7 linked regions of the Oryctolagus cuniculus genome follow. The protein of the gene in region 3 interacts with the protein of the main gene of each other region in a biochemical or structural test. Links are inferred from orthologs where the notes say so. Each region holds a gene or a part of one and is shown on either strand. Other genes may lie near its edges. The genes, in order: NFKBIA, COPS5, IKBKB, UBC, TNFRSF1A, TRIM21 and RELA.

What was found.
Region 1: of the proteins of IKBKB (region 3) and NFKBIA, one has a biochemical effect on the other in vitro, tested with the Homo sapiens proteins (58 studies listed by BioGRID and IntAct, with this or other methods). The link is inferred for Oryctolagus cuniculus from reciprocal best matches to the Homo sapiens genes IKBKB and NFKBIA.
Region 2: of the proteins of IKBKB (region 3) and COPS5, one has a biochemical effect on the other in vitro, tested with the Homo sapiens proteins (2 studies listed by BioGRID). The link is inferred for Oryctolagus cuniculus from reciprocal best matches to the Homo sapiens genes IKBKB and COPS5.
Region 4: the proteins of IKBKB (region 3) and UBC form a complex in vitro, tested with the Homo sapiens proteins (2 studies listed by BioGRID). The link is inferred for Oryctolagus cuniculus from reciprocal best matches to the Homo sapiens genes IKBKB and UBC.
Region 5: of the proteins of IKBKB (region 3) and TNFRSF1A, one has a biochemical effect on the other in vitro, tested with the Homo sapiens proteins (2 studies listed by BioGRID, with this or other methods). The link is inferred for Oryctolagus cuniculus from reciprocal best matches to the Homo sapiens genes IKBKB and TNFRSF1A.
Region 6: of the proteins of IKBKB (region 3) and TRIM21, one has a biochemical effect on the other in vitro, tested with the Homo sapiens proteins (2 studies listed by BioGRID). The link is inferred for Oryctolagus cuniculus from reciprocal best matches to the Homo sapiens genes IKBKB and TRIM21.
Region 7: of the proteins of IKBKB (region 3) and RELA, one has a biochemical effect on the other in vitro, tested with the Homo sapiens proteins (4 studies listed by BioGRID and IntAct). The link is inferred for Oryctolagus cuniculus from reciprocal best matches to the Homo sapiens genes IKBKB and RELA.

The regions. Positions count from the first base shown.
Region 1 is NC_091443.1:40,158,162-40,162,556, reverse strand, and holds the start of NFKBIA (NF-kappa-B inhibitor alpha), read right to left. Parts: upstream 2,848-4,395; 5' UTR 2,641-2,847; coding exon 2,414-2,640; intron 1,829-2,413; coding exon 1,720-1,828; intron 1,392-1,719; coding exon 1,181-1,391; intron 928-1,180; coding exon 839-927; intron 721-838; coding exon 460-720; intron 344-459; exon of another isoform or gene 181-343; coding exon 133-180; 3' UTR 1-132. UniProt on the Homo sapiens protein: Inhibits the activity of dimeric NF-kappa-B/REL complexes by trapping REL (RELA/p65 and NFKB1/p50) dimers in the cytoplasm by masking their nuclear localization signals.
Region 2 is NC_091437.1:92,681,418-92,685,862, reverse strand, and holds the start of COPS5 (COP9 signalosome complex subunit 5), read left to right. Parts: upstream 1-1,570; 5' UTR 1,571-1,935; coding exon 1,936-2,078; exon of another isoform or gene 2,079-2,086; intron 2,087-4,183; coding exon 4,184-4,418; intron 4,419-4,445. UniProt on the Homo sapiens protein: Probable protease subunit of the COP9 signalosome complex (CSN), a complex involved in various cellular and developmental processes.
Region 3 is NC_091433.1:92,506,575-92,510,444, reverse strand, and holds part of IKBKB (inhibitor of nuclear factor kappa-B kinase subunit beta), read right to left. Parts: intron 3,233-3,870; coding exon 3,109-3,232; intron 2,544-3,108; coding exon 2,392-2,543; intron 2,259-2,391; coding exon 2,197-2,258; intron 1,287-2,196; coding exon 1,177-1,286; intron 23-1,176; coding exon 1-22.
Region 4 is NC_091452.1:5,127,078-5,131,016, reverse strand, and holds the start of UBC (polyubiquitin-C), read right to left. Parts: upstream 2,801-3,939; 5' UTR 2,436-2,800; intron 1,982-2,435; exon of another isoform or gene 1,813-1,981; intron 1,667-1,812; 5' UTR 1,664-1,666; coding exon 1-1,663.
Region 5 is NC_091440.1:103,146,898-103,150,687, reverse strand, and holds the end of TNFRSF1A (tumor necrosis factor receptor superfamily member 1A), read right to left. Parts: intron 3,032-3,790; coding exon 2,958-3,031; intron 2,856-2,957; coding exon 2,739-2,855; intron 2,434-2,738; coding exon 2,405-2,433; intron 2,211-2,404; coding exon 1,901-2,210; intron 1,808-1,900; coding exon 1,500-1,807; 3' UTR 718-1,499; downstream 1-717. Other genes in the region: PLEKHG6 (pleckstrin homology domain-containing family G member 6), read left to right, coding at 1-265, 376-385.
Region 6 is NC_091432.1:62,646,722-62,650,309, forward strand, and holds the end of TRIM21 (E3 ubiquitin-protein ligase TRIM21), read left to right. Parts: intron 1-1,179; coding exon 1,180-1,280; intron 1,281-1,584; coding exon 1,585-2,132; 3' UTR 2,133-2,940; downstream 2,941-3,588. UniProt on the Homo sapiens protein: E3 ubiquitin-protein ligase whose activity is dependent on E2 enzymes, UBE2D1, UBE2D2, UBE2E1 and UBE2E2.
Region 7 is NC_091432.1:6,038,443-6,042,754, forward strand, and holds the start of RELA (transcription factor p65), read left to right. Parts: upstream 1-1,193; 5' UTR 1,194-1,325; coding exon 1,326-1,332; intron 1,333-1,880; coding exon 1,881-1,907; intron 1,908-1,998; coding exon 1,999-2,150; intron 2,151-2,239; coding exon 2,240-2,388; intron 2,389-2,885; coding exon 2,886-2,977; intron 2,978-3,339; coding exon 3,340-3,471; intron 3,472-4,216; coding exon 4,217-4,312. UniProt on the Homo sapiens protein: NF-kappa-B is a pleiotropic transcription factor present in almost all cell types and is the endpoint of a series of signal transduction events that are initiated by a vast array of stimuli related to many biological processes such as inflammation, immunity, differentiation, cell growth, tumorigenesis and apoptosis.

The sequences.
Region 1 (4,395 bases), on a different chromosome or scaffold from region 3:
ACAGTTGAGCGCTTCGGGCCGGGAAGACACCCCTGGCATTTTTTTTCCTTTTTCCTTTTTTTTTTTTTAGAAAAATAAAACTCTCTTTTTGTACAAATATACAAGTCCACGTGCTTTCCAGGCGCCTGGTGCTCACAAGGTCAGGCGCTGGCCTCCGAACACGCAGTCATCATAGGGCAGCTGGAAGAAGAAGAGGAGAGTAAACCTCCAAGGCCCAGCCCGGGGCTGCAGGCCGCAGGCCAGGGCCCTGGCTGCGACTGCAGCTCCGATCCCCCCACCCGCCGTGCAATGAACTTGACAGGCTGAGTGCATTTCCCTTGAAGGATTTGCTGCTTAAAGAAGGGTAAGCTACTTTTATTTTTATTGGGGGGGGGGGGTTCTATACAGTCGGAGAGCTCTATCCAATATCCCAGGGCTGCTCAAGGGAAGGGGCCTGGCAGGGTAGGGGATGGGGCTCACCTCGTCCTCCGTGCCGTCCGACTCCGTGTCACAGCTCTCCTCGTCCTCACTCTCGGGCAACCTCTGGAGGTTCTCCAAGGTCAGCTGGCCCAGCTGCTGCTGGATCCGGGTGCTGGGGCGGCCCCATGTGAGTTGGTACGGGGAGTAGCCCTGGTAGGTGACCCGGTTGACATCGGCCCCGCACTTCAACAAGAGCGACACCAGGTCCGGATTCTGCAGGTCCACGGCGAGGTGGAGGGCCGTGCGCCCATTGCAGGGTTCCTAGAGCCAAGAGGAGTGTGAGATGCTTAGGAGGCGTCTGGCATTCCTGCGTGCAGCCAGTGTGGCTGACATGTTGCTGGCAAAGAGCAGCACTCCACCTGGCTCGTGAGGCACTCACCTGGGCGTTGACATCAGCACCCCAGGACACCAACAGCTCCACAATGCCCAGGTAGCCGTGGATGGAAGCCAGGTGCAGACACGTGTGGCCTAGACGGACAGAAGGAAGAGAGCATCACCACCTGTTTCACCGTCCCCCTAGTCACTCATGGGACAAGCACATGTGGCCCCTGAATTCTAAGGAGCCCGAATCTGGGTTCTGAATGAACATTCCAGCAGCCTGAGACAGGCGCTTGATACTCATTTCCTCCTGCTTTCACAAGCTGGGAGTTTAAGCTCTGCCCTGCACGCCTTAGGCCAGCCCGCCTCCCCCGCGCCGCCCGCCTGGGACAGCACAGCGTACCGTTGTAGTTGATGGCCTGCAGAATGGAGTGCAGGTGCTGGGCCGTGCAGGTCTGCTTGAGGACGCCCACGCTGGCCAGGCAGCCCTGCTCGCAGGCAAGGTGCAGCGGAGTGTTTCCTCGAAAGTCCCGCAGCTCAGGATCACAGCCAGCTTCCAGCAGTGCCTCAGCAATTTCTGGCTGGCTAGTGATGACAGCCAAGTGGAGCGGCGTCTACGAGTGGGAGAGCGAGCACAGATAAGCCTCGGCGCAAAGTCGTCCTCCGAGTGCCCCTGAGCCGCAGACATCTCCCGGGGGTGGGTGCTGCTCCTCCCAGACAGGGACAGGGGGCCAAAGACCAGGGCCCCGGGTGGGTCGCAAAGACCTCACCCAATCCGTGGGCTTTTAACTCTGCAGGAGACCGGCTTATTGGAATGTGAAAGGCCAGGGCAGGTAAGGACCTGTGGCTGTTCTTTCAGAGAGCTAGGGGTGGGGAGGACTGTGCCACATCGACTGCATCCCGAGGTCACAGAGGGCACAGGGCTGGGGACGACAGGCGCACCTGCTGCAGGTTGTTCTGGAAGTTGAGGAAGGCCAGGTCTCCCTTCACCTGGCGAATCACTTCCATGGTCAATGCCTTCTCTTCATGGATGATGGCCAAGTGGAGGAACCTGCAGGCCAGAGAGGGGAAAACCCCCCGCAAGGGGCGGTGAGCGCACTGCGTGGGGCCCCGGGGAGGCGCGGCCTGCGGGGGATTGCGCAAGGCCGGGGTTTCTGGAGCCGGGGCCGCGGTGTTTTCCGCGGGGTTATTATGAGCTGAGTGTTCCTGGCAGGCGCCCAGGGACTTTCCGGGCCCCGCCCCCCCCGCGGCGGCGCCGGCCAGGCCGCCCCGCCCTCCCGGCGGCCCGGAACGCCCTGTACTTCCCCCGCCGGCCGCGCGGCGCCCGCCCGCCCGCCCGCCTTATGCAACCCGGGACTCGGCGTCCCTGCCGCCGCGCCGCCCCCCGCCGCGAGCGCCGGGCTGCGGGGTTCGGGGTGTGCGGGGACGGGGCCGTCCACGCCCTTCCCCGCCGGCCCGAGGAGCCCCCAGAGGAGCCCCGGCCCGCGCGCGGCCGCCCCGCAGCTTTGCGGCAGACTCGGCGGCGCTGCACGGCCATCCCCCCCCTCCAGCCCGGCTGTGCTGCAGCCCCGGGGCCCGCGCTGCAGGCCCGGCCGCCCCCCGCCCGGCCCGCGGCCCTCAGCCCCCCGACACTTACGAGTCTCCGTCCTCCGTGAGCTGCTGCCTCCAGGGCTCGGCGGCGCGCGGCGCCTCCTGCGGCTCCAGGCGGATCTCGCGCAGCTCCTTCACCATCTGCTCGTACTCCTCGTCCTTCATGGAGTCCAGGCCGCTGTCGTGGCGGTCGTCCAGCAGGCGCTCCTTCTTCAGCGCGTCCCGGGGCCCCTCCATGGCCCAGTCCTGAGCGTGCTCGGCCGGCTGAAACATGGCGCTGCTCCCCAGGTGCTCGGCCGCGGGCTGCGCGCTGGCGTCCTCGTCCTGTCGCCGGCTCCTGGCGGGCGGCGCGCTGCGACTGTTGTGGGCTCGGCAGCGCCGCCGCGCCGCCCTATAAACGCTGGCGGGGAATTTCTCTGGGGGCGGGGTCAGGCGCGGGGAATTTCCAAGCCAGTCAGACCAGAAAAGAGAACTGGCTTGGTCCTCTGCTAGGGGAAAAAAAAAGGCAGCCTAAACTCCGAGCCGGGGTTCATCGGAGAAACTCCCTGGGATGACCCACCGGGGTCATGTCCAGGGAACTTCTCGCTGCGCGCTGAGTGGCTGGAAAGTCCTCCGGGCCCGGCGGCCGCCGCCGCCCCGGTGCTTCCCTGCGGACCGCGCGCGGCCAGGCCGACCCTGCAGGGCCCTCCTCTCTCCCTGGGGTTTCCCACGGCCGATTGCACTCGGGGTCGTCTGCTGCAGGGATCCCGAGGACACAGACCTGCCGGGCCGTTCCTCTTTGGGGTTTGCCGCCCAGCCGGTCCTTTCCGTTTTCTCGGATCTTGCGGAAGCGCAAGAGTGGAAACGGTGGCTGGCCGTGGGGGTTTGTCTTCCCCAGAGTTGGGTGCAGTTCGCGGGCGGCCCCTGGGTTCCCGCAGATTCCCGGCCCTGTAGGGTGCAAGCGCTCCTGGCGTCCCGACCCCCTCGGGGAGAAGCTGGGTTTTAAACCAAGTCCCGTCCTGGGGACTAACAGGCCTGTCGGCTGGGGGAGGGACAGATCTCGCCCTGCGAGGGGTCAGCGCTCAGTGGGGCCTCAAGGGTTTGCTTTTTGTTAAGCAAGGAGTTCGTCTTGGTGGGAGGGGTTGCAGGTAACCTTGCAGTAACGAAGTTCATGGTCTGTGCTGCAGGAAATGGATCCTGAGCCTATTTCTGAGTGCCCAGCTGAGCAATTTTTCAGCATTGGGAGGAGCCTGACCAATGGGTGGCAGTTAGTGTCTTACCCAGGATTGGGCCTGAAAGATGGCCAAGAGTAACTGCCAGGCCCCCCGCGGGAGGTTCCAGGCGGCTCCCCCGTGTGCTCTGGGAGAGGGCAGTAGCTGGAGCCATTCCTGCAGTGCCACTCTTGAGAGAATCCCCTGGCTTTAGAGAGGTTATGCTCCGGCCCCCGAAGCGGCAGACTGGGCTGAATTCAACTACTTCTGGAATTGGTGCAGGTAATCAAATCGGCTTTGATCGGCTTTGAGCATGAGCTCCAGGGGCCTCTGCAGAGGTTTCTGGAGGTTGTGGCAATCACCTTCGCCTTACTGATCAGGTACAAAGCAACCCTTGCCTCTCCTCGGATCTCCACCTGTTCCCCCCATATGGAACATAGGGGATAGGGTCACTAGGACAAAATATGAGGGCAAAAAAGTAAAATCAAGAAATAAACCCCTCAGTAGTAATGGTCACATGTTAGAGTGAGAACTTCCCAGTAGAGACTGCAGTGTCTGCAGGCTTAGGAACCGCACACACGGGTTTATCAAGGCAAGGTCGCACAGTGATGCAGGCAGGAGGCCTCGGTTCCAGGGTCAAAGTCACTGCGCACTGGCTGCACAAGTCAGTAAATATTTTTTGTAGTGTACTTGTTTTATATACTAATGGGATTGGATTGAAGGCTATTTAAGTTCTTTTCCAGCTTAGAAACTGTATCACTTGTCCAGGAAAGCAATTCTAGCTCTGTTTTTTGAGGCCCTTAGACATCCCACGGCATGTACATCTTTGGAAGAACTC
Region 2 (4,445 bases), on a different chromosome or scaffold from region 3:
GCAGCCCCGCCTCCGGAGCGGCCGCTTAAGAGGACCGCGCGACCGAGGGCGCCCCCTGCCTTCCCGGAGGACGCACAGCCACCCACCTGCGCCCAGGGTTTTGTTAAACCTTGGGAGTCGCTTCCCAGGTTGAATTAATTCCTGCTTTCCAACCCACCACTCCGCGGTCGATCCGAGGACAGCCTGAGTCTGAGGTCCGGGAAGGTAGAGGCAGTAAGAAGAATACCAATGGCACACTCTCCTAAGCCAGGAGTCTGGTCAGCGCAAGTCCCGGGCTTTCAATACCATTTTCAACGTGTAATTCAATTCACACCAATACTAAGTAATCAAATGCTCCCACTGAAAAAGATTTTTTGACTTCGCAAGAAACTAAGAATGCTAATGTCTCCTAGGGGCCCTAATTTATCCTTACTTTGCAAGTCGACTTTAAAGGCAAATTTTAAGCTGAAAATGTCAAAACCGCAGACTGTGGTGTGGATTCCATAACCCTAATTTTCTATTTGTTCTATCGATCTGCCACGCACCCTACTAGGAGTGGAGGATTCAAGGCAGTGCGAGGTATCCTGAACTCTGAAAAAAAGAAACCTCCATGTAAACCGATACTCGTACATAATTACAACACAATGCGAGTTAAGAAGTACCTGTCTTACAGACTTGGAGACACCGTGGAAGAAATGGTCCTGGAGAGTGAAGACAGACCTCAGAACTGTGCTTTCAGATTAATATGAGCTCGCAGGCAGAAAAGCCAGGGAAGCGCGTGTTAATCAAGCAACGCTGACCACATCCGAGTACTGTTGTGCTAAGTCCAAGTGTGGGGAATGGCACTACTGGAAAGAAAGGTTTCAAGGGGGAACTGAAGAGAGATGGAACTGGAGAGGTGCGTAGGGACTAGGTTATGAAGAGCTGCGATGTTTTCTTTTTTTCCAGCAAAAAGATCTTTATCCCTAACACCCAGGTGTTAGAAATAAAACAAAGAGCACAGAACTGGTCCCTGCGTCTTTAAACGCAGAATCTAGTGCGGACGGAGAAGAGAGGGAAAAACACGTAAACCAAACACAGGAAACAAACATAGTATCAACGGGAGGCAACAAAAAGGTTGCTGAGATTAACTCCGTCCAGGCTATTAAGCGCTGCAGACTTAACTCATGAGAACTGAGTATTGGACATTTGCATCACTAACAGCTCATAATAAATGTAGGGACATGAAACGTCTACGTCACAGGATAAAACCGTAACAATTCACTCGCTTTTGCCGCCTCCCGCGAGCGCTAGAAAACGCCCACCTGAAATCCACGAGCCCGCAGTTCTACGCATGTGTACTGGGTCACTTGGAAGCAAAACAGGATGCCATATTTATCTTCCTCGCAGCCAAAATCCAGTACTTACATTTAAATTTCTCCAGACATCCTTTTTATTTTTTTCCTAGTCTTTCAAGAAACTTTCCATCTAAGACAGCTACACCCACACGAAAACACTTTCCTCTGCCCAACTTGCAGCTCCGCCCACATTTAATATGGCGGAAAATGCGCCTGCGCAGTACTAACTAAGAGGCCACGGCAGTTTCTGGCATAACGTTAACGTGCCCTTCTTCCGTTGTGAAAGGCTATACCATTCCCATGGCAAATGATTGTGTTTGCCCTATTTCATAGATACAGTTTTCCAAGACGATATGTTCTCATTTAACCCACATTAATATTCCCCTTGCCACAGCTGTTACACTAACTACCGATTTATCGTCGCTTCTCCTAACAGCCCCCTCCATCCCCGAATGGTCCGTACCAACTTCACCTCCGGTTCTAGGTGTCATGGCTGCCTCGAGAGTCTAGGAAGAGTTTGCACCTGTGGTGGGAAGGGTCCAAAACCCACACCCAGGGAGCTAGAAAAGTAAAGTTGCGTCTCGGCCGTAGAAGCGAAAGCTTCTCTGATTCCTCGGCGATGGCGGCGTCCGGGAGCGGTATGGCCCAGAAAACCTGGGAATTGGCCAACAACATGCAGGAAGCCCAGAGCATCGATGAAATCTACAAATACGACAAAAAACAGCAGCAAGAAATCCTGGCGGCGAAGCCCTGGACTAAGGAGTGAGGAGGTCCCTGGAGACTCGCAGGGGAGGGACGGGGTGGTTAGAGTTTGAGAGACCCGAGGGTGGGGGAGTGGGAATTGGAGTGGGTGGACGGCTTGGCTTTTCATGGTCCAGGAGAGATTATGCACCTGAAACAGAATTTGATCTACCTTCATCCCCGCACGTGTAGTGTATGCTCCTCCGCTGCGGCCTGCTTTGCCCGTTCTGTCTGTTAACTCTTTTGCCTCTGGAGGATGTAAGGGATGAACAGCAAGCAGAGATTTAGGTTATCACTTTTCAACATCCTGATTATTATATCTGCCAGTATCTGCTTTGAACCCTGTGTGGACTACACCTTGTTGGGGCCTTCAGCTGGTCCCTGACGGGAACCGCAGCTCTTTTCAGAAATTGAGTCAGCAGCTCACCTGTCTTGCAGATAGCTGTGAGCCATCTTTTTAGAGATCTGTAGTAGTTCTTTGATTGCTGGTAATTATTTCAGAGGCACAGTCAGCCTCTAACCAATTTCTAAAATATTACTCCACCAGTGTCACCTAAGTCTGAGATTAAAAAATAGACCTTAAGGCTCTTACCCCTTAGCAAAATTCATGCATCCCTGGGAGTGATGACAAGTCAAGGATTATTAATCCATAACATTTATCCTTTACCAAAAGAAGACTTTTGTTGGGGAAAGAGTAAAAAGAGAGTAAAAGAAAACTGTTTAATAGATACAAAGGAGAGCTGTGGCAAGCCCAGGACATACTTCCTGCCACACCGTCTTTTACAAGCCTAGCTTTAACTGTCAGTTAGGTGCAGCAGTGTTTACTGATAACTCAACATGGGCCAAACACTGAGTTAGGGATCTGCATTTGTCATTTTAATCATCATGACAACCCAGTACTGTACTTTCATTCGTTTTTTCAAGTAAGGAAACAAGCAAATACCTCATGATCACATTGAGGCAATGTAATAGGAGCACAATAACAGTTATCTTTTTTCTTTTCCCGTTAGAACACAATTTTAATTTGTATCTTAACTTCCAACACCAAGCCTCTGTGTTTTTCAGCTTGTGAAATCTGGCAAAGGTTGGGAATTAAGTTTCTGTGCTTTTCTCTGGGCAAACATTTAGCTCAGAAACACCAACTAACCACTCTGTACAGCGTACAGGCTGGTTAGGTTGCCTGGTTGTCGACTTCTATAGCAGCTGTACATTTTAGGTTGACCTCCTCTGTTAGATATTTGGAAGCCATCACTTTGTTACACTGTCTCACAGTAGTTCTAATTATATCCCTCCTAGCTGTCTTGGGCTGCATCAGTCAGACCAAAATATAGTTTTACTTAAAAGTTGACTCACAGCCACCACTGACAAATTCAAGAACAGTGATCATGGGACAGCTAAGGATATTAGAGACACTTTTTAATTTTGAGGCTGATATTACAGAGGAAAGCCACATCTTTCAAAATATTGTTGTTTCAGAGTACTGAGAATACTGTAACAGAAATTAATAATGCTAAAAACAGATAGCATTATTAAGGTTTTACTTTGGATCAGACACTAAAGCTAGGCACTTTATTATTTCATTCATTTTATTTCATCCTAATGACTCTGAACTAGTCCCGCTTACCCTAAGCAATGTAATGTGAGACACGCAGACATTAAGAGGTTGTCCTAATGTCACAGCTAAGGAATGGCAGTGCAAGAGTCAAACATAGGCAGATAGATGTCAGAGCCCACATTCTTTTAACCATTAGACCAAAAGGTTAGGCCTAAGAATAGTTAAACACAGCCATCCATCCAGTATTAGAATCAGATATTTGATCATTGCAAATCAACAGAGGAAAAGTCTCTTGAACTCATTGCTACTTCCACATTTGAATAGCATGTTAAAAGAGAGAGAGGACTGTTTCAGACCCTTCCTTTCCCCAGGGGGGAATATTTTGCAGGAGTATGACATGTTTGTTATTTCCATACCCATGCAGGTCATCTGTCCTTTACTACTACTTCCCACATTCTACACAGCCCTTATATCAATTTAAATTCTCTCAGTAACTTATTTTAAAAAAAAAAGTCTTTGGATATTTTATTTCAAATAAGAAATATAATTACATTGTGATTTTATTTTGTAGTCATCATTACTTTAAGTACTGCAAAATCTCAGCATTGGCTCTACTGAAAATGGTGATGCATGCCAGATCAGGAGGCAACTTGGAGGTGATGGGCTTGATGCTAGGAAAGGTGGACGGTGAAACCATGATCATTATGGACAGTTTTGCTTTGCCTGTAGAGGGCACTGAAACCCGAGTAAATGCTCAAGCTGCAGCATATGAGTACATGGCTGCATACATAGAAAACGCCAAACAGGTAAAAATCTTGTTTATTAAACTGTGG
Region 3 (3,870 bases):
AAGCTCCCTGGCTTGCTCCTCTCTGCAACGTAAAAGAAGCTCCGTTCAGACCCCAGGTCAAATGCTCGCGCTCACCCATCATGACTGCTGACTGCTAGGAACAGGGCTGGCAGGGTGCTGTTTCTGTTTGTTTTGGAGACAACAGGGCGGGGACTGTCCAGCTTTGCCGGCCTTACACGGCCCACAGAATCATCTGGTCTGGCCCTGCAGGCAGGACTGGGAAGCCACTCAATCTACAGCGAGCTATCAGTTGATAAATGTGCGTGGCCTGCAAATGATGTTCTCAACAGCCAAGTGTCCCTGGGCAGAAAAAAGGTTCTGCAGCCTTGGAGACAGAAACAGGGAGGTCCCCCAGCTCAGGGCTCACCCTCCGACCACCCACGATGGCCAGGGCTGAGCGGGTGCCAGGCCGGAGCTGGGAATGCAATCCAGTTTTTCCATTAGGGTGACAGGGACCCAACTACTTGAACCATCACTGGGTCTGCATTAGCAGGAGCTAGAGCCAGAGGCCAGGCGCAAACCTAGGTCTTCCTGGCGATCTACCATTCCTCAACAGAGACCCAGGTGCCACCGCTGGGCCTGGGCCCCGGAACATGGCTCCCCTGGGAACACTCAAGCCCAGGGGGTGGGGGGACCCGGAGTCCCATCCCTGTCCCTTAACAGGGCCGAAACTGATTGACACTCTCAAAAAGGGTTATCCTTTGAACACTGGAAGAGAAGAGGATTAAATAACTACAGAAAACCCAGGACAAATAACTGAGCTTCTGGCACTGACTTCTTGACCTAAATGTGACAAACGCTGCTGCCCTCCCTGCCCAGCTCCCCCTGACTGCGCACAGTGGAGTGGCCTCCGTGTCACTTCCCCCATGGAGGACTGGTCCACCTGGTTCCTCTGCCCCTCCTCGGGCCCAGATGAACAGCTCCCAGGCCTGCCTTCTGTTCTGCGTTCCGCTCGTTGAGCCACCCTGTGTGAGCCGCGGTGTGGACGCAGAGCCGCCTCTCAGCGTGGGCGTGGACAGGGCCTCACGCCCCTGTGACGGCACGGCGCCCTTTCTGCTACTCAGCAATGTGGAATCGAAGGCTCAGAGGGCCGGCGCCTGCCTGGGCTCCTCGCAGGCACAGGTGGGACGGGCCCACAGAGCCTCCCGAGCCGAGGGAAGGTGTGCGGGCACTCACAAGTCGTCCAGCGTGCCCCCCTGCTTCCGGCCCATGGGGCTCCTCTGCAGGTCCACGATGTCGGTCTGCAGGGCCATCATCCGCTCCACAAGATGCTTCACTTCGTCCTCCTGAGGGAAGAGCTGTGCTGACGCCACCCGGCAGCATCAGAGCGGCCCGAGACGCACGTTTGCTGGGGCGGCAGGGTGGGGGCCAGACCCACACAAGACTCTCCACCGACTGGCTGGGCAGGACGCAGACCCCGGAGTCACCTTGGAGTCATGGCGCCTGGGTTCCGCTCTCCGTCTACCTCTCCCTAGCTGTGCAACTGCGGGCAACCCTCAGGTACGGCTCCCTCATCCCTAAAACACACGTCTCCTAGGGCCACTACAGGGGCGACGTGAGATCAGGGCGTGCGAGATCAGGCACAGGGTCTGGTATCTGAAGGATACTGAATACGCACGGCCTTCGCGTCTCTGAATCCGTGCATCCGTGTGGTGTGCACGGATGACGGGTCCCAGGGCCACGGCCGGGTGAAATAAAGGACTGTCTGGCCAGCACCCACCCCGTCAGTACAGGTTCCTGAAAGCAGGCACCAGGAGTGCACGGGAGAGCCGTGACAAAGCTGTGCCGGGTTCCTGTGCTCACGCTTCCTCCCTCGCCTTCGTGGGCACTATCTTTTGGCGGCCCCTGATTGGCACTGCAGGGAAAAGCCTTTGGCCTAGTGCGTGCTGGTCATTCAACCAGGAGGTCTTGGCTTTTCTCCGAGGGCGCTCAAAGCCTCGCTCCTCAGTTAAACCTGCATCTTCTCTGCCCATTCGTATAGCTCTGTGAGGAGCTACAGCAGGGCTCCCTTTACTGCCTATTCTCTCTCTCTCTCTCTCGGAGCTCCCTTCCAGCGAGTTTGGTGAAAGTCAAAGAACACAGCAAAGAAAACGCGGTTTCTGCCCTGAAGATCAACCTGGCATTTGATGCGAAAGCAGGAGAAGGCGGCAGCGAGCCTCATGCCCTTGGCAACACAGACACCCGAGAGTCTCCTACCCGCCCACACAGCTCCACGGCCTGTTCCATTTCCCTCCAGGCCAGCAGCAGCTTATCTGATGCTGGAAAAAAAAAGTGAAAAAGAAAAGAAAAATACCATAAAACCAAAACAGAAACAAGCAACTCTACTATCACAGGACAAAAGAAACCCCGTGAGAAGCACGGCCAAGGGCTCACTGCCAAGGGCACACTCACTGATCCCGAACTCGGTTTGCTCGCTATACTTCTCCAGGTCGATCTGGATGCTGGTTTTAAAGAAGTCCAACTTGGCCTTGAGCTGCTGGGATATGGAAGCCATGGAATTCTTCATCTTGGAGAGGCAGCTGTTATTACGGAGGAGGTTCATCCTGCAGGGGCCGCAAGACACGGGACCTTGAAGCACCCTGGGGACCCAAATGCCATTTCCTGCATAGTGGCAGAAGCCCTCAAACATCAAGGGAGGTCCCTGCCATCACTATTATTATTATTATTACATAATAACCATAAGGACACTCTTCTAGTCCTTAGCAATTCATGAAGTTCTGAACCAAAACGGGAAGCAGGCCAGCGCACACAAAGGGACACAAATCTAGCTTACACTAGCTGTGGCCACGCAGAGTGGGTACGTTTTTGGTAATAATAACTAGGGGAGTGTTGCTAACCCAGACTGCAACAAGCTCTCTGGGTTCCAGATTCTGTCCGCGGTCGCCAGCCCAGCCCGCAGCGTTGCCCTGGGCTCCACGCGCCAACCACATGCACCTCATCAGGGCTAGAAGAGGCTCCAGCCCACCCAGCCACTCGCCGCCCTTCCAAGCCAGTGTCTCCCTCGTTGTCTCAACGGCTGCTTCCGGGCCCCTGCCTCAGCCACCTCCCGCGGCCAGCGCCACCCGGCAGTTTCCAAGAGAGGAAGTCAGAGGGCGCCTGGCACCGTACATGGCAGCTCGCTGGCCCTGCTGCAGCCGGTTGCAGTCCTCCTTCAGGGTCTGGATGCTGTGCCAGACCTGGCCCCACACCTTCCTCAGCTGGAAGAAAGGGAGATTCCTCTTGGGCTCCTGAACTGGAAACAGAGGGGAAGGCCACCATGAACCACATCCTGCCTGCAGCCTGCCGGTGCTTTCACACTTAGAAACATTATGTAACTACTTTCCTATTATGCAAGTGTTTGGGTCTCCTGCCTGGTTCCTGCCGCCGACCTCTGTGGGACCTGTTCCAGCAGAAGTGAACCAGCGGGTCGGTGGTCGGTGAGGAACTGCGGCCTGGACTCAAAGAAGCAGCTCGGGAACCAGGTGGGGACTCACCCTCAGGCACCCAGGCCCACTGCTTTCATCAGAAGCTCTCTGTTCACAGAGTTTAAGGGGGAAAAGTTTTAAAAAAGACGCGGCTTCACTCAGCAGCACTGGGCATGCGTGAATAAACAAGAAGCCCGCAGGCTCTGAGGCCTTGGCCCCCGGCCATTCTCGGTGTGCGGGGAGGAGGTGGGGGAGATGTAGAATGGCCATCAGACATTCAAACAAGGGATCCTACACGGCCATTCCCGGAGGAGGCAGCTCCACATGGACCAACAGCGGGGAATCTCCAAACCACACTGCTGGGGGAACGAGGCAGCATGGAACCGCTCACGCCGCAGGCTACCCGAAGCCCTCGAGGGACACCCGAGGACCGGGTGAGCTTACTGGCCGGGGCATGGAGAGAGGG
Region 4 (3,939 bases), on a different chromosome or scaffold from region 3:
TGGTGTCACTGGGCTCCACCTCGAGGGTGATGGTCTTGCCGGTCAGGGTCTTCACGAAGATCTGCATGCCACCTCTGAGGCGCAGCACCAGGTGCAGGGTGGACTCCTTCTGGATGTTGTAGTCGGACAGGGTGCGGCCATCTTCCAGCTGCTTGCCGGCAAAGATCAGCCTCTGCTGGTCGGGGGGGATGCCCTCCTTGTCCTGGATCTTCGCCTTGACGTTCTCGATGGTGTCACTGGGCTCCACCTCGAGGGTGATGGTCTTGCCGGTCAGGGTCTTCACGAAGATCTGCATGCCACCTCTGAGGCGCAGCACCAGGTGCAGGGTGGACTCCTTCTGGATGTTGTAGTCGGACAGGGTGCGGCCGTCTTCCAGCTGCTTGCCGGCAAAGATCAGCCTCTGCTGGTCGGGGGGGATGCCCTCCTTGTCCTGGATCTTCGCCTTGACGTTCTCGATGGTGTCACTGGGCTCCACCTCGAGGGTGATGGTCTTGCCGGTCAGGGTCTTCACGAAGATCTGCATGCCACCTCTGAGGCGCAGCACCAGGTGCAGGGTGGACTCCTTCTGGATGTTGTAGTCGGACAGGGTGCGGCCATCTTCCAGCTGCTTGCCGGCAAAGATCAGCCTCTGCTGGTCGGGGGGGATGCCCTCCTTGTCCTGGATCTTCGCCTTGACGTTCTCGATGGTGTCACTGGGCTCCACCTCGAGGGTGATGGTCTTGCCGGTCAGGGTCTTCACGAAGATCTGCATGCCACCTCTGAGGCGCAGCACCAGGTGCAGGGTGGACTCCTTCTGGATGTTGTAGTCGGACAGGGTGCGGCCGTCTTCCAGCTGCTTGCCGGCAAAGATCAGCCTCTGCTGGTCGGGGGGGATGCCCTCCTTGTCCTGGATCTTCGCCTTGACGTTCTCGATGGTGTCACTGGGCTCCACCTCGAGGGTGATGGTCTTGCCGGTCAGGGTCTTCACGAAGATCTGCATGCCACCTCTGAGGCGCAGCACCAGGTGCAGGGTGGACTCCTTCTGGATGTTGTAGTCGGACAGGGTGCGGCCGTCTTCCAGCTGCTTGCCGGCAAAGATCAGCCTCTGCTGGTCGGGGGGGATGCCCTCCTTGTCCTGGATCTTCGCCTTGACGTTCTCGATGGTGTCACTGGGCTCCACCTCGAGGGTGATGGTCTTGCCGGTCAGGGTCTTCACGAAGATCTGCATGCCACCTCTGAGGCGCAGCACCAGGTGCAGGGTGGACTCCTTCTGGATGTTGTAGTCGGACAGGGTGCGGCCGTCTTCCAGCTGCTTGCCGGCAAAGATCAGCCTCTGCTGGTCGGGGGGGATGCCCTCCTTGTCCTGGATCTTCGCCTTGACGTTCTCGATGGTGTCACTGGGCTCCACCTCGAGGGTGATGGTCTTGCCGGTCAGGGTCTTCACGAAGATCTGCATGCCACCTCTGAGGCGCAGCACCAGGTGCAGGGTGGACTCCTTCTGGATGTTGTAGTCGGACAGGGTGCGGCCGTCTTCCAGCTGCTTGCCGGCAAAGATCAGCCTCTGCTGGTCAGGGGGGATGCCCTCCTTGTCCTGGATCTTTGCCTTGACATTCTCGATGGTGTCACTGGGCTCCACCTCGAGGGTGATGGTCTTGCCAGTTAAGGTTTTCACGAAGATCTGCATTGTCTGTTATGAGAAAACACACAAAAAGAAACAAAAAAAAATTCAGCAAACAATTCACTAATATTCCTAAAGACTGAATATCGTCTATTTATCTACACTATTAAAATTAATAACTTGCTTAGGAACTCCAAAGGACACCAAACACAAACCTGAAAAATTACTTCAAAACCCCAGCCTCAGACCCTTCGTTATGAAGAAAGCAGGGAAACGTGACCAGTGAACTCAGGGCTTTTCCGTCCCTCCCCCCTTCCGGCTCGCGTTCCCGTCCACTCAGCAGGATCTCGCCTAGGCCCTAACCGTGTGTCTTGCAACTGACAGAAACCGACGCCACCCACACCGGGAGGCAGCCCCGCCCTGCTCTGTGTGCCAACACGCGGGTGACGTCACGGCGCGAGCCGCCCCCCACCCGCTGGAGCAGCCCCGCGCCGAGGCGCCTCCCTACTCCCCAGCCCCTAACCGGGGCCCAGCGCTGCCCGTCAGCCCCGCCACACCGCTCCCCCACGTCTCCAAACGCGGCCCGGCGACGCCGCCTTCCGCTCCTCAGACCCTCGCGGCGCTCGGCGCTCTCCGGCCCCTGTCCGCCCTGCACCCTGACCTCCCGGCTCGGCGGCGCCGCCATCTTGTCGGTTCTTCCGCCTGCGGGGCGACCCCAGCCGACTACCCGCCCGGGAGGGCGTCCCGCCCGCGGCGGGCAGCCGCACCGCCCTCCTCCCTCACGGCCGAGAGGCCGCGGGCCGCCCCCACCCCGGCCAGCACGACGAGGTCCACTCACCAGGCGGCGGCGGCGGCGGCGGCGGCGGCGGCAGCTGTACGCAGGATGAAGGCGACCGAACTCCGGCTCCGACGGAACTGGCTGCGCCGCGCCCGGCGCCCGCTTATATAGTCCGACGGCGAGCCGCCGCCCCGGCGAGATCCCTCCGCAGAAACGCCGAGAAGGAACTACTTTCCTCAGCCTCTTCCGCCCTCCGGGAAGGAACCCTGCGCCCGGGGCCGTCGGCCCCCTCACAAAACGTTCTCGGGTCGAGCCCGGGGCGGTACCGCCGGGCCCGGGAGGGGAGGGGCCGCCGCCCTGAGGGGCCCGGCGGAGGGATCAGGGCGTTTGCTGCGTGCTGCGGCCGACGTGCGGGCGCCCGCCCTGGGGGAGGGGAGCCGGCGCGCGGGCGGCGGGAAGACCCGGCGCGGAGCCGGGCGGCGCCCGGAGCGGGCGGGCGGCCGGGGGCTTCGGCTCCGCCCCGCGCCCCGTCCCCTCGGCCGCAGCGGCCCGTCGGTGGGCGGCCCGCGGGGGTTCCGGCCCGGCGCCCCCTCCCCGCGCGCGGCCCGCTCTGTCCCCGGCCCGCGACCTCGAGGGGCTTTCTGTGGGGTCGCGTCTGAGGTGACCGCGGTGGTCTCGTCGGGGCCGGGCCGTGACTGGGCACATCCGGGCCTCGCCTCCGCGGCCCACTGTGTCCACGGCCCGTGACCTCTAGGGGGCTTTCTGTGGGGTCGCGTCTGAGGTGACCGCCGTGGTCTCGTGGGGGCCGGGCCGTGACTGGGCACATCCGGGCCTCCCCGCGCGCGGCCCGCTCTGTCCCCCCGGCCCGTGACCTCGAGGGGGCTTTCTGTGGGGTCGCGTTTGAGGTGACCGCCGTGGTCTCGTGGGGGGCCGGGCCGGTGATTGGACACATCCTGCCCTCGCCTCCGCGGCCCCGGCCCCGGCCCCGGGCCGCCGGCGCGCAGACCCGCGGGGAGCCACGGCGGACCCCGACAGCGCTGGCTGGTTGCGGCTGGTCGCGGCCGCCCAGGCTCTCCCCGGAAGCCGCCGCCGGAGGCGCCTGGTGCGGCCCGGGCTTTAACCTGGGCCTTTTTACGGACGCGAACCGAAGCTGCGCTCTGTGTTTCCGGGATCCGATGCATGAAACGCGCACCTCGCGTTGTGATCACAAGGGGGAGGGGCACGGTCAGCCACGGGGTCGTGTCCTGGTGTTTGGGAGAATCGTGGCGTCGACCAGCAGGTGAGCTGGAGGCTCTTAAACGTTAGCGGTGGATTTGCCCCCTCGTGCCCCGAGTCCCCCCCTCCCCACGCTGTGCTGTGCGACTCTTCTAGAATGTTCCATTGCCACGATGGGGCGGAGGCGGGACCACAGCCCCTCCTTAGAGGGGAAGACCGTTTTACAAGTGTCATGTCACCGAGAAGCCCCGGCAGAACAACCGCTGTGTGGTTGCTGTGGTAACCTGCGGCTGTGTGGATCTGGGAAGATCTACCTGAGCATTGTTAGAGGACTTTTCCACCCCTTAAA
Region 5 (3,790 bases), on a different chromosome or scaffold from region 3:
CGGACTCGGCCGGGGAAAGCCCCTGGGAGTCCTCTGCCGACGAGGAAGAAGAGGGGCCTCCGTTCTCTGGGCCAGCCCGCAGGCCGTGCGTCCGGCCACTCAGCGCTGAGGACATGCTCCGACAGATCCGGGAGGAACTGGCCACGCAAAGGATCGAGGGAGCTACAGAGCCCGGGGACGGCAAGCCTCGGAAGCTGACCCGCGCCCAGCTGCAGAGGATGCGGGGTCCGCAAGTCATACAGTTGGACACGCCCTTGTCCACTTCGTAAGTGCTGAAGGGGAGCTGGCGGGGGGGGGGCGGGGGGGACAGACGGGGGGCGGGGCCTCTTCCACACCCCTGGACCCTCGCCTACTGGCCACCTCCTTTCTTTTCAGAGAGGTGTGAGCATCGGGGAGGAAGGCTCTCCCGGAGAGTGCTGGTCACCCCTGCCCCCACACTACCTCAAGGACCACACTTCCCGGCACCTGCCTTCTGCTGCGAGGACTCTGGCCATCTGGCCATCAGGAACTGTAGATTTATGTACCACAGACACCCCTGCGCCCCCCCTAAAGTTGTGCATAAAAACGGCTGCGTGGGTGGCATTGCTTGAGCCTGGGAAGATGGGGGTGTGTGTGGGGGGGTGCTGTCACCGCGCGACTGGTGGGCCCTCTGGCCCTGGGTTGGGACTTTCCCCACCCCACCCCTCAGGGTGCAGATGCCCACAGAGACAGACCATCCCCGTGGGAGTGGAGCTTTAATTTCTGGGTTTTAGTGAATTTACAAAAGCCTGCCGCTCCGGCTGGAGGGCTCACTGTTCTGCCCTTGGCCCCTGCCCCAGGACGCGTCCGGGCAAGGGGCAGAGGGGCGCCAGGGTTCTATTAGTGTGACACAACTGATATAAACATGCTTATCTGCTGCGAGAGAGGTCCCCGGACCTACCAGGGGCCGGAGCAGCTCTGCTGGGCCCTCCACGTCCTGTAGTCCACAACCACCCACTCGGGCCCCGGGCACGCTCAGCCTCGGGAGCACTCAAGCGGGCACAGCTGGGCGGTGCTCCGGCAGCTGAGTTTGAAACGCTGTGTGTGTGCACGGAACGGGTAGCACCAAGTAAGTGGCTGCTAGTTCACGCCTGCCCCTCCAGGATCCGCTCCAGAAGAAAAGGCCCAGAGGGCATCTCCCAGGGTAGGCTCCTCCTCCGAGGCGGGGACGGGGACCAGGAGGAGGGACACACAGCGCCTCCGACGGCCTCCAGGCAGCCAGGGGCGTGGCTCCACCGGGTGAGGCGGAGCGAAGGGGGAGGCGGGGCCACGCCTCGCCTCCTCGAAGTCCTCCTGGCAGCCGGGGGCGTGGCTCCATCAGGCAAGGCGGAGCGACAGGAGGGGGAAGCGGGCCATGCCGCGCCTCCTCGACGTCCTCCAGGCAGCCGAGGCGTGGCCTCACAGAGCGGGGCACTCAGCGTCCTTCGGAGAGGGCGTGGCCTCAGGGCGGGGCACGCAGCGCCCCCCAGAGGGGCGTGGCCTCACCGCGGAAGGCGGGCCTCCGACGGCTGGGAGGCGGGGCCGCCCAGCACCGCCTCGATGTCCTCCAGGCAGCCGAGCAGGTCCATGTCGCGGAGCACGCTGCCCAGCAGGTCCAGCGTGGCTTCGTGGCGCGGCGTGCGCTGCCGCCAGGCCGCCAGCATGCTGTACTGGGCCTCGCGCAGGCAGCGCCCGTTCTGCAGCTCCAGCCGCTCTATCTCGTGCTCGCGGAGCCCCAGGCGCCGCACAAACTCCCGCCAGCGAGATGGGGGCACGCCGTCCACCACGGCATACAGCGTCACGGGGTCGGCTGTGGGGACGCGGGGCGTTGAGCCTTCTGCGGCCGCCCTCCACCCGGCCCTGCTGCCTCCCGGAGCCGCGCCCGACCCCGCGAGGAACTCACTGTCGGGGCGCTGCTGCGGGGCCACCGCCGCGGGGGCGCTGCAGTCCTCCCACTTCTGAAGCGGGGTGAGGATGGGTGTGGAGGCCAGGGCCGTGGTGTGGACGGGCTCAGCCTCCCGGTAGGCCAGGGCCACCCCTCTGGAGGGCGGCATAGCCCTGAAGCTGGGCCAGTCCTCACGGGGAAAGGTGGAAGTGGAGTTGGTACAGATGCCCAGGTCGGGGCTGAAGCCGGGGATGGGGCTGAAGCCTGGAGGCGGGCAGACTCCTGGGGCAGGGGCGAGGGGTTTGGCAGGAAGACCTTCAAGCTCCCCCTGAAAGAGAGTGGGCACAGCGTTAGTGGGGGAGGGGAAGGCAGCCTCAGCCCTCATTCTGGTTGGGGGTTGGGGCTGGAGGGAATTAGGGGAGCCCCCGAGTGGGAGCAAGGGTGATCCCAGGTGATCGGGGTGTTACAATGATAAGGAGCAGTCAGGGAAATTTGGGGGGCAGGTCTCTGGTTTCATCTCACCTCTTTGACAGGTGTCGCTTTCCCACAAACTGAGAAAAAAGAAACAGAGTATAAATTTCACTTCCCCTCTTCTCAGGCCTGGCGCCCCGTCCTGGGGTTGGCAGTGGGGACTTGTGGTGACATGCCTCACGGCTTATGTGGCCCCAGGGACAAGAGAACTAGCGACAGAGCGTGACCTCCCCCTAGCCACTCAGGGCCCCCCTCCACCCACAGAGTCCTGGGCAGTGAGATGGGGGACCCTCCTCCTCGCACCCCCCACGCTTGCGTGTCTGAGCCACCCAGCCTCCTCCCACAGGCTCCCCAGCGCCCTGTCCCCTGCCAAGGGCCCCCTCACCAATGGAGTAGAACTTGGGCTTCCACCGCCGCTGGTAGTGGCACATTAAAACAGTGAAGAGCAGGGAGAGCAGGCACAGACCAAAGAAGATCACCAGGGGCAGCAGCACTGTGGCGCCTGCAGAGCGAAGTTCATGGTCAGGGGATGGGTGGGGGGATGGGTGGGTGGGGGAGGGGCAAGGACTGTAGAGGGCAGCTGGGCGAGGGCGCTCCTCCTCACCTGAGTCCTGAGAGCCCTGGACGTTCCCGGTCGGGGGCAGGCACAGTTTCATGCACACTGGGTTCTCCTTACAACTGAAAGAGGAGACGGCGATGGTGAACAGAGGCCCTGCCACTGGAGAACACACACACACAGATACACAGCACGGACACACGCAAAACAGATACACAAAACACACAGAGATACACAAGCAAAACACAGACACAGAGATACACAGCACGGACACACGCAAAACACAGCTACACAAAACACACAGAGATACACAAACAAAACACACACACACACACAACACGGACACACGCAAAACACAGATACACAAAACACACAGAGATACACAAACAAAACACAGACAGAGGTACACAGCACGGACACACGCAAAACACAATACACAAAACAGTCACAGAGATACACAAAACACAGACACAGATACCCCAAACACAGACACACAGAGATACGCACAGATACACACACAAAACACACACATACACAAAATACAGCGATACACAGACACACAGATACACAGCACAGACACAGGCAAAACACAGAGACACAAAACAGACAGATACACAAACAAAAACACGGACACACAGATACACAGCAGACACACACAAAACACATACTCAAAACACACAGACACAGAGATACACAAACAAAACACAGACACACAGGTATACACGCCGATACACAAAACACACACATATACAAAACACTGAGATACACAGACACACAGAGATACACACACAGGACACACCGAATCACATAAATCACACAAACTAAAAACAAAGAGACACACAGACACACATAGAGATTGTATCTTTGCCTCACAAACATCT
Region 6 (3,588 bases), on a different chromosome or scaffold from region 3:
CCGCAAGTGAGATCCCAGTGGAAAGAATGGGCCATCAAAGAAGGAGGTACCTTTCTCTGAAGGGAGGAGAGAACTTCCACTTTGACCATGGCCTTGTCTAAAAATTATCAGAGTCAGTGAACTCAGGGGGCTTCCATAGCCTTGGCAGCTCATGACAAGAGCCTAGGGTGATTACTGAGGCCATAAACAAGAGTGTCAATTTGTTAAGTCAACAACAGGAGTCACTGTGCACTTACTCCTCATGTAGGATCTTTGTCCTCAGTGTGCTGTACATTGAGATTTAATGCTATAACTAGCACTCAAACAGTATTTTTCACTTTATGTTTCTGTGTGGAAGCAAACTGTTGAAATCTTCACTTAATGTATGCTAAACTGATCTTCTGTATATAAAGAGAATCGAAAATGAATCTTGATGTGAATGGAAGGGGAGAGGGAGTGGGAAAGGGGAGGGTTGCGGGTGGGAGGGACATTATGGGGGGGAAGCCATTGTAATCCATAAGCTGTACTTTGGAAATTTATATTCATTAAATAAAAGTTAAAAAATAAAATAAATAAAAGAGGGGGCAATATGATCATATATGCCTCTGAGAGGGTGGCAAAGGTAGAAAAACATGCCCTGGACTTTCCCGTGCTTGCCTCCCTGTTCTCAAGGAGATCCTCTATTAAGCACTTTCTGGTTTCAGAAGGCTAACAAATGGATAGCTCAGTTGCCAAGTTTCCCAGAGGATTTGGGCTATAATATCTTCACAGAGCAAATCCCCAACAACTGGGGAAAGGCTAGGAATTTCTCTAGCCTGCTGGGTCTGCTTTTTTAGAAGCAGTTACACCAGTTATAAACTACCTCGAAAGAGCTGTAAGACAGACCTACAGCATGGCCAGACTCCTTGAGGCTTCTCATAGATGTGATTCAGCCTGTATCAGACACCTTGCCTGTAAGATAAGATGGAGCCCAAGGTCACCAAGTAAGCATGAGAGAAGACACATGCTGCAAAGACTTTCATAACTAGGAATTTCTGGATAAATCCTGGAAATTTTTGCCTCTCATTCCTACTTCCCAGAGGCAATTATAAGTTTTGTACTTAACTATCACAATCCCCAAGGAAGTCATAGTGTTATGGTTGGGGTGGGGGAGCGGGTAGGTAATAGGAGTGGAAGACGAGTCTGAAACTCTTTCCCCAGGAGTGAGTCCTGGAGCCTGGAGGAGCTGAAAGTCATCTCACCAGACCTGAGGAGTGTGTGCCATGTGCCGGGGCTGAAGAAGATGCTGAGGACGTGTGGCGGTGAGGCGAGCTCTGGGAGTTGTGGGTGTGGGGCAGATGGGAATGATGAAAGTGTGGAGTAGACCCAGGATGGGGGAGGATGGACAGCAGTATGGAGGAGAGATGGCAGGTGGGGGAGAGATAGGAGTAGAGAAGGTAATCCCTTCAAAGGCCAGGGCAAGGCCAGGGCTCGCTGGAAGTCAGTTCCTCACCTGAGGAGGTCGGCCGCTCGTCCTCCTCCTGGAATTGACACAGATCCCCTTGCTACAGGCACAGGCTGAGGACTTCCCACACCCCAGGCCTGACCGTGGTGCTCTCTCTGCAGTACACATCACTCTGGATCCACAAACGGCCAATCCACAGCTCATCATCTCAGAGGACCTGAGACAAGTGAGGCTTGCAAACACCTGGCAGGATGTGCCAAAAAATGAAGAGAGATTTGATAATTATCCAATGGTCCTCGGTGCCCAGCACTTCAACTCTGGAAAGCATTACTGGGAAGTCAGTGTGAGGGGAAAGAGGGCCTGGGACCTGGGAGTCTGCAGAGCCTCGGTGCAGAGGAAGGGGAATTTTGTGCTCAACACTGAGAGAGGCTTCTGGACAATTTGGCTGTGGAAAGTAAAACAATATGAGGCTGGCACCTGTTCCCCAACCCCCCTCCACCTTCGGGTACCTCCATACCAAGTTGGGATCTTCCTGGACTATGAGGCCAGCACTGTTTCCTTCTACAATGTCACTGACCATGGGTCCCTGATCTACACCTTCTCTGACTGTGACTTTGCTGGACCTCTGCGGCCCTTCTTCAGTCCTGGTTTCAATGATGATGGAAAAAATGGAGCTCCTCTCACTCTCTGTCCACTGAAGATGGCATAGTCTGGACTCGCCAATTACTGAGGGCTCTTCATGGACACCCTCGTCCCATTGGGGCCCCTCCCAGCAGCAGCCCCTGCCTCTTTTGCCCATGAACGCTTGAGACACTTTTGCCTCTGCAGAGGTGTTGGGATCCCAGGAAGCAGTTGTTAGCAGGGGTGGGAGGTCACTGAAAGCCAATATCAAGTGGGTATTTCTGCTTTAAATTGCCGATTCCCTCCAGTGAAGCAAACTGCAGATTTAGCCCAAACTCACCTGAACCAGTTTCCACCTCCTTTATGTCGCTGAAGTTCTGTCCTAGGGGACAGCACTGTAGCATAGAAGGTTAAGCCACAGTTCAAATCCTGGTTTCTCCACTTCCAGTCCAGCTCCCAGCTAATGTGTCCGGGGAAGCAGTGGAAGAGGGCCAAGTCCTTGGGCCCCTGCACCCATGTGGGAGACCCAGACAAATCTCCTGGCTTCGGCCTGACCCAGCTCTAGTTATTGCGGCCATTTAGGTAGTGAACCAGCAAATAGAAGCTTGCTCACTCTCTTTCAAGTAAATAAACCTTTAAAAAAAAATCCTGTTTTAGCCTCTCCATCTTCAGGTTATTATCTTAGGTCAGAGCTCTGTTATACTGTGGGTGGTTTGTAAAATAGCTTCCTAAAAACAGTTGTGTTGTATTCTGCCCTTGTTCCTTAAACCTGAAATATTTGACAACTCTGATTAATAGTGATATACAACATTCCTTCAAAATGTTCATGGAAAATACATATGAAAAGTATGCATGGATTTCAATTTTTGCACCAAAATAAATGTATCTTAACTCCATTTTTTTTTTACAAACTTTAAAGTATGCTTAGATATCTAATGTTGCACATTTTTTCCTGCCTGGGCTGCCCTCCCTACTTCTGCATCTGGATTATTTGGTCTTGGGCAGAAGATACCAGTAAGAGTTTCCTCTCTTGATCTCCAAGTGGCCACTGTGATAATAGAAGGCATTTTGAGATTGCAGTCACTGCCCGAGGGCAGGTGCCCTTCACATAGAGGGAACTCCTGGGTTTGAAACAAAGTGCTCTCAGAGCTGGTACTGTTCTCTGTATCTCTGAAAGACCTGAGATGCTTCTGTCCATGTTCTTGGTTGACCAGTGAATGTCACTGATAGAGGGTGAAGGCTCGGGTGCCCTCAGCTCTCAGCGTTCTTCCTGGAAAATGGAACACTTCTACTCCTCCTGGGACATCCAAGTTTGCTATCATTCCTCTCTGAAATTCCCCCTTTCTTGGGCAAGTTTTTCTGGCTTTTCCAGGGGAACACATATGGCCTCCACTAAGGAATAGCAGAAGGGACTTGTCTGCAGTGAGTGAGACCATATCCTCAGTTATGAGAATGGAAGTTTGAGCAGGGTGGGATGTGTCTGTGTCCACCTGTGTTCCAAGTCAGCAGCTCAGGTTATGAGAACTGGGAAAAAAGGGCTCAGT
Region 7 (4,312 bases), on a different chromosome or scaffold from region 3:
GCACACCCCATTGCGGAGTCGCGGCTGGGCTCCCCCTTCCCGCTTCCTGCTAAGGCAGACCCTGGCGGGCAGCCGGGGCAGCAGCCAAGACTCGGGGTCCCTGCCGCTCGGGCGGCGCCCGTCTGAGACCCCCGCCCGAGACCCCCGCCCCTGGCCTCAGCTGGCGCAGCTCCCCGGCTGCTGGCCGGCGTCTGGGCCGTGATGCAGGGGCGGGAGGCCGCTCTGCCTTTCAAGGAAATAAAACGCTGATTATTCGGAGTGGACGGCGCACGCGCAGCCCCCGCGGCCGGGAAGCGGACTGCGCCGGAGACACCGGCGGGTGGGCGGGGTGCTCGCTCTCTTTCACTTTTCTCTTCCTGTTTTTTCAGAGCCTGGGAAAGCAAGTCAGAATTTCCAATCTTTTCCAATTCCCACATGGTTTCCTAATTTAGTGCGAGTTCGGAGAAGATACACACACACACAAAGTCTCCCCCGCACCCCGCTTTGGGGAAGCCGCGCGCAGCCTCACCCCAGGAGAGGGTCTGTGCCAGCCCCAGGCCCGCCCCCCGCCCGCAGGGCCGCGGCGGGAGGCCCCGGGCACTCTCGCGGGGGGCGGGACCCTGCGGGTTCGGGCGGCCCCTGGGGGTCCCGGGCGTGGGCAGGCGAGCGCGCCAGGGTGCAGAGAGGAGGCTGCGGGGCCGATCCGGGCGCCTCCCGCACTCGTCTCCGATGGGCCGCCCGCGGGCCGGGGCTGGCGCGGCCGAGGGCCCGGCTCGCCCGCTGCGGGCAGTGGCCGGCGGGGACGTCGGGCGCGCCCCGCACCCCGCGCGCCCCCCGCGCCGAGACGCGTGCGGGGTGAAGCCGCCGGCTCTCCGCGCGCGGGGCGGGCGGCCGCCGCCCAGCCGCTCTGGCCGCGCTCCAGCCCGGCCCGGGTGACATCACCAAGCTCCTCCGACCCGCGGGAGGGGGCCCCCGAAATCCCCTAAAAACAAAGTGAGTAATCGGCAGGCCCGCCCTCCAGGCGGGGCTGGGACGCGGGGGCGAGCGGAGCCGCCCCGGGAGCCGCCTCCGGGCGGGCGGGCGGGTGAGCGTCGGTGTCCGGAGCGGCCGGCGTCTGCCCCCGGCCCCCGCGGGCTCGCCCCGGCGCGGCGCGCACCTGCCCGGACCCCCGCGCGGGGCGGCGGCGGCGGCGGCGGCACAGGCACAGCGCGCAGGCGCGGCCGGGTTCCGGGCAGTGACGCGGCGACGGGCGCGCGCGGCGCATTTCCGCCTCTGGCGAATGGCTCCCCTGTAGCGCGCGCCGCGGGCCCAGCTGCGACCCCGGCCCCGCCCCCGGGACCCCGGCCATGGACGGTGAGGGCGCCCCGGGAGCCGGCGGGGAGGCCGCGCCGGGGCCGCGGGGGCTGTGGCGGGACCCCCGGGCCGCCTTCCGCCGCTTCCTGCGCCGCGGGCGCTGCTGCGCCAGGGAGCGGTCCGGCCGGCCGGTGGCGCGGGGCGGGGCGGGCGGCGGGGGTCTGACTCAGTTTCCCCTCCGCGTGGAGGGGGCCTTGACCGGGGGCCCTCCCGGGGTGGGGGTGCGGGGTGAGCTTTGAGGCGAGTCCGTCGCATGGCCTCTGGGGCAGCCCTGATGGAGTTGTTATGGGAGAGGGTGTGAGTCAGTTTCCTCTCGGGTGGGGGCTGGGGGGTGGGGGGCGCCCTCCCACAGCTCCTCCGAGGACAGTGGGCCGGGCCCTGACTCGGGTTCCCTCAGCACAGCCGGGGGTCCAGACCCCGTTTGCCCTTAGGAAACAGGTGTTTCTGGCTCCTGTACCCCCCACGGAGCAGGTCCTGACTCAGTTTCCCTGGGGCGGGGGGTGGAGGGGACCTGGGCTTGTGCTGACCCTTACCTCCTCCCCTTTCAGACCTGTTCCCCCTCATCTTCCCCTCGGGTAAGTGGGCCGGCCCTGCTCGGTGGCGGGGAGGGGCTCCGGGGGCTGGGGGGCTGGGGGCAGCCCCTGATGGGACCCCCGGCCCCCGCAGAGCCAGCCCAGGCCTCGGGCCCCTTCGTGGAGATCATCGAGCAGCCCAAGCAGCGGGGCATGCGCTTCCGCTACAAGTGCGAGGGCCGCTCGGCGGGCAGCATCCCCGGCGAGCGGAGCACGGACACCACCAAGACCCACCCCACCATCAAGGTCAGTCCTGCTCCCCCTGTGGCGGGCCGGGCGCGGGGGAGGGGCCGCCGAGCCGGCCCTGCCCCCAGCACGCGCTGTACTTTGCACAGATCAATGGCTACACGGGACCCGGGACGGTGCGCATCTCCCTGGTCACCAAGGACCCCCCTCACCGGCCTCACCCGCACGAGCTGGTCGGCAAAGACTGCCGGGACGGCTTCTACGAGGCCGAGCTCTGCCCGGACCGCTGCATCCACAGGTGAGCGCCCGGGGCCGCGCTGGGCGGACTGCTCTCTCCTGCGCTCCTCCTTTCTGGGAGTGGGACTCCTGGGGGACGGGCTGGGGCCCTGACCCTGTGGCTGCCAGCGAACCTGCGGTTCCCCCGAGCGCGCACCCGCGGACAGGCTGTAGGTCGTGCAGATAAACGGTGCACGTGGTGTCAGCCGTGACTTCCAGGCTGGGAGAGAGCCCGGCCGAGGGAGGGGTGCTGGTCTCGTGGCCTGGGGGCGGGAGGCCCGGGGTGGCCTCTGTCAGCTAGGCCTTGAATGGTGAGGCTGATCGGAGAAGCCCGGAAGCATCCCGGGGCGAAGGGAGAGGTGCCGAGGTCAGGGCCTGAGGGCGGGAGGCCGTCGACAGGAGCGGTGGTGTTGCAGCGCAGGGGAGCCGCTGCAGCCGCTGCAGCCAGGACCGGGGCGGATGGGGAGGTGCAGACGGGGCACCGCGGGAGGGTCCGCGCTCTGACGGGGAGGGGCTCAGCTTCCAGAACCTGGGGATCCAGTGTGTGAAGAAGCGCGACCTGGAGCAGGCCATCAGTCAGCGCATCCAGACGAACAACAACCCCTTCCAAGGTGAGGCCCCCCAGCTGCCCGCCCCGCCCCCGCCCCCGCCCCCAGCTGCCCGCCCCGCCCCCAGCCTCCGCCCCCGCCCCCAGCCTCCGCCCCAGCCCCAGGCCTCCGCCCCCGCCCCCAGCCCCCGTCCCCCCCAGCTGCCGCCCCGCCCCCCCAGCCTCCGCCCCCACCCGGCCCCCACCCCAGGCCTCCTGGCCAAGACGCCGCAGCCGGACACCACGTCCCGGCAGGGGACAGGACTGCGGGGTCCCAGTGCAGGCCTTTGTCCGGCGCTGTGGCACCCTTCGCCAGCCCCCAGGCCAGAGCGGCCGGCCCTCCCCGCCCCGTGTGACACCTGCCCGTCCGCCCGTCCGTTGTGACAGTGCCCATAGAAGAGCAGCGTGGGGACTACGACCTGAACGCCGTGAGGCTCTGCTTCCAGGTGACAGTGCGGGACCCAGCAGGCAGGCCCCTACGCCTGCAGCCTGTCCTCTCCCATCCCATCTTTGACAACCGTGAGTGGCTCGGGGGTCACGGGCAGGGGCCGGGGTGGGCCTGGGCGGCAGGAAGGCTGGTGGGCTGGGCTGCGGCGAGCTTCTGCCCGTCGTCCGGCATCCGTGTGTCATCTCCCGTGCCCAGCCCTGCTGGCTGCAGACAGGCAGGGACAGACCCAGAGCCGTCCTTGCTCTAGAGGGTGTGGCTTCGGGGCTGGCGGGGGTCTGATAGGAAGTGGGCGTTTTCCGGATCACGTGGCGAGAGAGTGGCATGCCCCCACCTACACCACGGACTGTGGGAAGTGGACATTACGAGAGCGAGGTGTCCTGGGCGGTGACGATTCCCTGATGACAGCCCGGGAAGCTTGCAGAGGGACTGGGCGGCATCATCAGTTGCAGTTTTTAATTAAATAATGAGCAGGATGAATAAAAATAGAGCAGCGCGGGAACCCTGGGGGCAGGAAGCAGGGTCAGGAGGGACGGGCGCGTGGCCAAGGTGGGTACGATGGGGCCCGGGAGACTGCCCGGGTCAGCGTGGCTCGCGCTGGGTCTGGAAGCCCCACGAGGGCAGAGCAGCGTGGGTCCCAGGCGTGGTGTTCTTGCCAGGGATAGCGCCGAGCCCGCCGGGGTGTGGGGCCGGGGAGGCGGTGTGGCGTGGGCTGCGCAGGCGCGGGGCAGCCTGGGCCCTGGGCTGGGCAGGCCGCGCGTCTCCCGTGGGCCGCCCCAGGAGTGGCTCAGGGCCGCCTTCCTCACCCTCACACCTCAGGCGCCCCCAACACTGCCGAGCTCAAGATCTGCCGGGTGAACCGCAACTCGGGGAGCTGCCTGGGCGGGGACGAGATCTTCCTGCTGTGCGACAAGG